Oryctolagus cuniculus: one gene and its partner. The protein of the gene in region 2 binds, or shares a complex with, the protein of the main gene of each other region. Links are inferred from orthologs where the notes say so. Each region holds a gene or a part of one and is shown on either strand. Other genes may lie near its edges.

Region 1 (4,297 bases), on a different chromosome or scaffold from region 2:
GCCCTCCCCTCCCCAGACAGCCTTGTCTGAGCCGCCGGTAGCCTTGGCTAAGGTACTGTAAGCTCTCCATCTACAAGAGGAGGAGACAAACAGGAGCCGACCTTCTGTGCCGTCCTGTTCGCTGCAGCGTTAGACACGGCGCCTAGGAGGTGGCGAGCGCTCCCTCAGGGTTACCCCCGGCATCCGTGGAGTCACCACGGAGCCCCTGTTTCCTGATCTGTGATGAAGGGGAGTCATGGAGTCTGTGCCAGTTATAGACGCAAGGCGACATCAACACGTTTGTGGCGAAATGGAGTTAAAGGACACGCTTACTCTGCGGAAAAAGCTTTGGAAATCCAGGCCTGGCTCTTTCATCCCAGGCGTGGGAGGCCGCCCGTGGTGTCACGGCCCAGCCCATCCCACGAGAGGACAGGGTGAGGGGCCCGTGTCTCCCTGCTCTGTCGGCCTAGCCTGGCCTCTGCATTCAACTGTCTCTGTTGAAACATCCAGGCGGCTTTCTGTGTCCCTGGCCTGGGCCCTGGCAGCGGGGGCAGGGTGAGCGTCCTCCTGGGAGCTGGGATAGGAGCACTTTCCATAAACACAGGCCCCGAGCGCAGCTTCCCCAAGCCCCCAGCCCCAACTCACCGGACACCTCCACGTAGCCGTCCTTGGTTTTCACCATCAGCTCCTCGGGCTTGAAGCTGTGCACATTGACACACACTTTCCAGGGTTCCCCGGGGAATGGTGGAGGGCTCCTGCCCTCGGCGGGCACCCCAAACCTGGCCGCAGCGTTGGGCCCCCGGGGCACTATGCCCGACCTCAGGGTCCCGGGCCACGGGGACGAGAGCCGAGGCAGCGCCCAGTCCGGCCACGAGGCGGTGAGGTCGTCGGCGAAGGGGTCCATGCCAAAGCCATCGTCCAGCAGGCGGGAGGACAGGGACGAGTCCCGGAAGGGGTCTCGGCGCAGGCGGCTCGGGTAGTGGCAGGAGAACGGCATCTGCCCGTCAGCCATGGCGGCTACTGAGCTCAGAGGGGAAACCGAGGCTCAGGGTGAAGGCACCACCTGCCCAAGGTCACGCAGCTGAGCTGGGCTTCCCGGCTTATCTTCAGCTTCAGGAAAATGCCAGTCTTCAGTCAGGGAGAAGCAGGACCATCCACGGCCACGGCGGCTCGTGCACACCAGGCTGGGGTCCCAGCCCCGAAAGGTGCTCCCTGGCTGAGCCCAGTGGAATTCCCCCTACCAGGGACCCGGAGATCAGCAAGCCACGGTCCTCCCGAAGCTGCCCAGGCGCGCAGCCAGAACCACCGAGCTCGAGAGTGGAGCCAGGGGCTTAATAAACTGGGGAACACACGCCTAGAAACTTCTCCTGGCTTCTGGGCTGGGAGCCTGCTATTTATTCGCTGCTGGGGGTTGGGGGTGGAGCCGCAGGCGCCTCCTGTCACCGGAGTATTCGGAGGTGATGAAGCAGCCCCAGAGAATCCGCCTAGGGGACAGCTGGGCTCCGCACCGGCCCGGGGGAGGCTGGGGGAGGCTGGGAGGGGCCTCTCCGGATGTTCTCTCCTCCCAGGCGCGGCGCTCGGCTCCGCCCTCCCGCTGCCTCCCCCGCCCCGCCCCGGCAGGGCTCAGCCGCCTGGCTATTAATAACCCTCTGCCCTGCTGAGGGTTCAGGTCACCCTCTGGAAATACCTTCCCCGAGCCTGTGGCTGCAGGCGTCCCCGTCGGCACCTGCAGAAGGGGAGGAGAGAGGGAGGCCGGATAACCGGTGGGCTTGGAGGCGGATGGCTCTGGGTTGTCTTTGGAATAGAGTGGCAAAGGGAAAGAAAAACAAAACAAAGCTGTGTAAATCTCTACGTAGACTAGGATTCCAGCGGCACTCCAGTGGGGAGGACTTTATGGGGGGGGCGGCTCTGGCGGTAGGTGCAGGGGCCGCATGCTGTGCAGTGGAGGAGAAAGATTGCAGGGCCCCGGAAACACCGGAATCCCAGAGGGAGGATCAAGGAGAGGGCCAGGGGGTGGAACACTGCCGGGAGGAACTTCTAAGTCCAAGGGATTCTGGCTAAACCAACCGGACGAGAGATTCTGGCTTAGAGTCAGGCCAGGCTGGGATCAGATCCCACCTAGGGGGTGGGGTGGGGCTGGAGAAAGGGTTGGGTGTCAAGGGTGGGTCTTGTTGCTTAACTGACTTAGGCGGTTCTTTGCTGAAATCGGATTTTACGAAAAACTGCGCAGATGCACCCAAAAGAAGGCTCAGGAACGTGGCTACGGGTTGGCCAAGCCATGAGCCTGGCAATTGAAGTCTAAAGCATTAGCGTGCCCCTCGGCACCTGTGAGCCGGCTGCTTTCCCACCTGTAAAGTGGGCGCGAGAGCAGCCTGCTCCTGGATGTGTCCGAGGAGCGGCTGGGGCAGGTGATTCTCGCCCAGCGTTTAGGACACCCATCGGCACTTTCGTTCTTCCAGTTTTGTTACCAGTGACGCCAACGCTTGCTCTGTGCCGGCCCCCGTCCCAGGTACTTCGCAAATACTAACTCAATGGATTCTCCGCCCACATTTTGTAAGGCAAGGAAAGTGCCGCAGGCCGTGTTATCGAATGACAGTGTCCCTTAGGATTGCACAATTATTGCAAAGTTCTGTGCCCAGGCAGGACGTCTGCCCTGAGCCCAGGAAGAATTGCATTTTCCAGGCTTCTCCGCGGCTCCTGTGCGGCTGGAAGAACCAATTTACAAACCTTCCTTGGAGGCCGGCGCCGTGGCTCACTAGGCTAATCCTCTGCCTTGCGGCGCCGGCACACCAGGTTCTAGTCCCGGTCGAGGCGCCGGATTCTGTCCCAGTTGCCCCTCTTCCAAACCAGCTCTCTGCTGTGGCCAGGGAGTGCAGTGGAGGATGGCCCAAGTGCTTGGGCCCTGCACCCCATGGGAGACCAGGAGAAGCACCTGGCTCCTGGCTTCGGATCAGCGCGGTGCGCCGGCTGCAGCGGCCATTGGTGGGTGAACCAAAGGCAAAAGGAAGACCTTTCTTTCTGTCTCTCTCTCTCTCACTGTCCACTCTGTCAAAAAAAAAAAAAAAAAATCCTTGGGCTTAAAAACAACAACAAAACCCCCTGGGCTTAGGTTCCTCTTCCTCTTTGATCGGTCCCCAACAGGTGGCAGAGGTCTTTTCCTCTGCCTTCTTCGTGGGGTGGGGGTGTTCAGAAACTCAGTGAGTCACAGGTCGAGAAACGGTTGGATGTTAAGCGGTGTCTGCTTAGGCAGTTTGCTAAAAATAACAATCCATAGACCCATCACCGTGGTTTACTGCCTCCCTGGCCCCGCCGCTGAGGGGAGCGAGGTGTGGGGCGGGTCTGCGGAGTCTGCGTCAGACCCTCCCTCCTGCTTCCTTGTGGTCCATGCCCCCTGCAGACCCTTGCCTCTTACCCTTGGCTGTGGGGCTGCAGGACCTGGGCCAGTGGGACTTGGGTCGCCCTGACTCCCAGCTCTGTCGCTGAGCTGCCGGATCCTAATGGAGACCCCCAGCCTCCTCCCGCAACAAGAAGGGGAGGCAAGCCCCAGGCCGGCGGGCAGCGCTCCGAGTGACTGGGCCCCCACTTGATACGGGGTGAGCTCATCAGCCTAGCAGCTTCAGGCTGACGTCACTGCCTCGGCTCTCTCTGTAATTACAGCTGGGCAGGGCCAGCTGACTTTGAAGCCAGTTATGGGGAGAATTGGGAGTCATCAGCCCTACCAGGGACCTGGGCGAGACTGGGGTGCGGTTTCTGAGTGGGGGGGGTCTGGGTGGGAGTGGCTTGGCATAGAGCAAGGCTGGGAGTGGATTCGGGTGGGAGCAGTGGGAGTGTGAGTGTGTGTTCAGGGTCAGGGCTGTGTTTATGGAAGGGTGGGTCTTCTGGAAATACTGCTTCCCCTCCCCCTCCCTTCTGCAAGCCCCAATGGAAGCTTCCAGAAAGCCCCTCTGCCTAGAACAAGGCACAGCTGGAACGAGGAGAACAGATAAGACGGAAGCCTGGCCAGGGAGCGGGAAGGGAACCGGATGACCTAACCCCCCTCCCCATGTCGAGGCCGCAGGGAGGTGGGTGTTGTGGCACAGTGGGTTAAGCCACGGCCTGTGAAGCTGCTTAGCATCCCACGTGAGCACTGGTTGGAGTCCCAGCTTCTCCATTCCTTATTCAGCTCCTTGCCAATGCACCTGGGAAAGCAGTGGAAGATGGCCCAAGTGTTTGGGTCCCTGCACCCACATGGGAGACCCAGATGGAGCTCCCGCCCCGTGATCCTCCCCTGCTTCCCGGTGTCTGCTCCTGGGGCTCTTGTTACATTTCTGGGTTGGGC
Region 2 (3,804 bases):
AGATATGGCTCCTTACACATTTACTCTATCTAAAGTTAGATACTTGAACTACTGAGATGAAGAAAATCATCCCATTAAAACAAAAATGGCAACATTTCTGAGAAGTGAGTTATGCTTACGTGATGGGAAATCAGCTCCCCATCTACCCCCAACAACGCCTTCAGTCCAGAGCTAAAGGAAGACAGTGACCACAGCTGGCGTGGTGCCCATGCAGAGGGCCCCAAAACAAGCAATGGGGTTAAACAAGCAGCTTCTTTCTTCGTACAGAACAAGGCTACAGAAGAGAAGCATCGTCTTCCCTTCAGCCCTTGTATTAGTGTGTTGTGCCTCCACCCAAGTTACTGCGTACCAAGCGGCTACAAATAACAAAAACAAACTGACTGAAAGTCCCTGAAATGCATGCAACTTAAAATCCCCAGAGCACACAACCCAGTCCACGTCTCCAGCCTGACCCCACTCAGCGGAGACTACGCTGTCGCTGGGCTCCCCTGGCTCCCAGCTGGGTCCGTCGTGCCACTGGGGTCTGCAGTGGTTCCTTCTTTGGCTTCTGCCTGCTGGGTTTCAGTCTGGGGGTCTTCATTTCCGGCACTTTTCTTCCCCTTGTCTGCGGCCATCTCCATGATTTCTTGCAGTGGCCGATCAGGTTCAAGGTTGCTGGGCTGGAGTTCATAAACCTGGACTTGACCTGGGACATCGATTGCTTTCTGTTCGAGTTTTTCCAAGATGGTCTGGACCTTCCTGACACCGTCTCTCCTGGCCTGGCGCACATCAGCTCGTCCCTCCGGGTCCACGGAATCCAGGGCCAGCAGCTCTTTGGTCAGATACTCTTCAATCATCAGGTACTTCTTGTCGGTCTTCTTGCCTTCGAAGTTGTCCACAGCCTGCTCCAGCCCTTGCACCTTCTCCAGGATGGCTTCCACCTTCAGCACACCTGGGTGTTTCGGGGGGGCCTCAGCTTCTCCCGGCTTGGGGGCTGGTGCGTCGGCAGGGGTGGGGCTGGGTGCTGCCTTCTCTTCCGCAGCCACATTCTTGGGGGGAGAGGGGACAGCAGCGGGGGCGGGAATGGGAGGAGGACAGGAGACTGGAGCAGAGGGCACCTTTGCCTCCACTTTCTCAGAGGGAGGGGGCGGCTTTGGGGAAGCAGGTTTGGAATCTGCCTCCTTGCGGATCACTTGGATTGGGATGTGTCCGGGAAGGAGATCTGGTCCTGCCGGGCCTGCCTTACTTTCTGGCTTGCTGTCAGGTTGGGGAGCAGGTGGAGATTCTCGCTGGGCCATGGGCGGCTGTGAAAAAGAAGAGAGGACACAAAGGCAGGTTCAACCCCTGGCAGAACGTCCCGGGCGGCTGGGTGCAGCCAGTGCCAGTCAGAAAAATGGGCAATGGCTTTTTTTTAGGTTAATTGAGAGAGTCTAAAGTCAACCAACAGCTGGTACAAAACCAAAATATGCCGTTAATCATGTAGGAAACCAAACCATTTGTTAGGCTTCTGGGAACCACCTTGGGCTGCTTGTGTTACCTCTCATAGAATCTCTCTGTAGACAGTGTTCAAACAGCAGTGAAAAGAAAACCAAGATGATGTTCAAAAATGAAATAGCAAAGCCTCTTGCTGACTGCTGAGCCGACTTTGCTGATAACAGAGTGCTGAGTGGCTCTGACCATCGGGTGAGGCAGCTGGCGCCACAGGCCTGGCCCCCACTCCTTATGCCAAACGCAGCCCACTCATGGGGGAGTGGGGTGCAGGCCTTCTTTTTGTTAAAGCTATGACAGCCTAATAGTTTCAGCCAGGATAGTGGTTCCTGGTGTATTTATTTATTAATTTTTTTCAACAAACAAGATACTCACGGTCGTCAACTCCGTGAGAATTCTGCTTAGGCATACTCATGCCTGAACCTCACACTCAGCAACGCCTCCCATGCTGACTCCGGCTGTGGTCTCTCCTCGAGACTGTCGGCAAGAGCCATTTTTTAAAATGATGAGCTTGGGGCTGGCGCTGTGGCGCAGTGGGTTAACCCCCTGGCCTGAAGTGCTGGCATCCCATATGGGCGCGGGTTTGAGACCCAGCTGCTCCACTTCCGATCCAGCTCTCTCTGCTATGGCCTGGGAAAGCAGTGGAAGATGGCCCAAGTCCTTGGGCCCCTACACCCACATGGGAGACCCGGGGGAAGCGCCTGGCTTCAGATTGGCACAGTTGCAGCAAACTGGGGAGTGAACCAGCGGATGGAAAGCCCTCCTCTGTGCGTGTGTGTGTGTGTGTGTAACTCTTTCAAATAAATATATAAATCTTAAAAATAAATAAAGGAAGGAAAATGATGAGTTATGCTCCGATCAGAAACACCTTGGTTCTTCTAGCATATAAATGAATATCTAAAATCTCCCCTAAGTCTCATGCTCCCTAATCTAATCAACTTGGCAATGAAAGTCAGACTGTACTATTTCTAAAGTACACCCAATTTCTAATATTAAATCCTACCATATGTTATTAGGTCAAATCCTTCAAGGCCTCCAAAAAGGGATCCTGGAACAAAACTCTAGAAAGGTCACCGAGGGGCTGGTGCTCTGGTGCAGTAGGTTAAGCCCCTGCCTGCAGCACCAGCATCCCATACAGGCACTGGTTCGAGTCCCAGCTGCTCTACTTCTGATCCAGCTCCCTAATAGCCTGAGAAAGCAGAAGATGGCCCAAATACTTGGGCCCCTGCACCCACGTGGGAGACCCAGAAGAAGCTCCTGGCTCCTGGTTTCAGATCATTCCAGTTCCAGCCATTGTGGCCACTTGGGCAGTGAACCAGCAGACAGAAGACCTCTCTCTAACTCTGCCTTGCAAATAAAATTTTTTTTTAAAAAGAAAGGTCACCACGAACAAAGCTGATGGCAGTGACAACAGGGTTGAGAACTGTTCACCAATTATGCCGTGAGGATGCCACCACCACTCAGTGGGTGCTCCTGACCTGCAGGAGCCAGTGTGACTCGGCAGTCGCCCCGGAACCTGCTTTTCCATCAGACCTGCTGTGACAGGGCTCGCGATGCGGTACAGCAGGGTAAGCCGCCGCCTACGTCACCGGCGCCCCTTATCAGACTGCCATTTGTGGCCCAGCCTGGCCGCTCTGCTTCCTATCCGGCTCCCTGCTAAGGCAGCTAGGACAGCAGCAGACAATGGGTCTCTGCCACCCGCCTGGGAGACCTGGATGGAGTTCCAGGCTCCTGGCTTGGGTCTGGCCCAATCCCATTTGGGAAGTGAACCGGCAGATAGAAGATCTTTCTCTGTGTCTCCTTCTCGGTCATTTTGCCTTTCAAATAAAAAAAAAATCTTTAAAACAAACAAAAACCAAGACCAAATAAACAAACAAAAGCCTTTTCTATCACTCCAGATATCTCCAACTCCGGTCCTTACTGCTCCTGAGGCAACCCCATGGCCTCTTTGGGTTACACAATAATGGTGTGTAAGAAGCTACTTTAGGGGCCCGCTCTGTGTGTAGTGGGTTAAGTTGCAGCCTGCAGTGCTAGCACTCCATTGGGTGCTGGTTCTATCTGCAGCTGCTCCACTTCAAATCCTGTTTCCTGATAATGCACCTGAGCAAGCAGCAGAGGATGGCCAAGGCTTGGGTCGCTGCACCCATGTGGGAGACCGGAAGAAGCTCCTGGCTCCTGGCTTCAGTCTGACCCAGCTCCAGCCACTGTGGCCATTTGGCAAGTGAACCAGCTGATGGAAGGTCTCTCTGTCTCTCCCTCTAACACTGTCTTTCAAGTAAAATAAGTAAATCTTAAAAAAAAAAAAAAAAAGAAAAGAAAAAAAGTCACTTTAGAAAC

The links.
Region 1: BAG3 (region 2) and HSPB8 share a complex: the UniProt entries of both Homo sapiens proteins name them as parts of the chaperone-assisted selective autophagy (CASA) complex. The link is inferred for Oryctolagus cuniculus from reciprocal best matches to the Homo sapiens genes BAG3 and HSPB8.

What each region holds. Positions count from the first base shown.
Region 1 is NC_091452.1:15,305,254-15,309,550, reverse strand, and holds the start of HSPB8 (heat shock protein beta-8), read right to left. Parts: upstream 3,047-4,297; 5' UTR 992-3,046; coding exon 625-991; intron 1-624. UniProt on the Homo sapiens protein: Involved in the chaperone-assisted selective autophagy (CASA), a crucial process for protein quality control, particularly in mechanical strained cells and tissues such as muscle. Displays temperature-dependent chaperone activity.
Region 2 is NC_091446.1:11,044,918-11,048,721, forward strand, and holds part of BAG3 (BAG family molecular chaperone regulator 3), read right to left. Parts: intron 1,284-3,804; coding exon 468-1,283; 3' UTR 1-467. UniProt on the Homo sapiens protein: Co-chaperone and adapter protein that connects different classes of molecular chaperones including heat shock proteins 70 (HSP70s), e.g. HSPA1A/HSP70 or HSPA8/HSC70, and small heat shock proteins (sHSPs), e.g. HSPB8.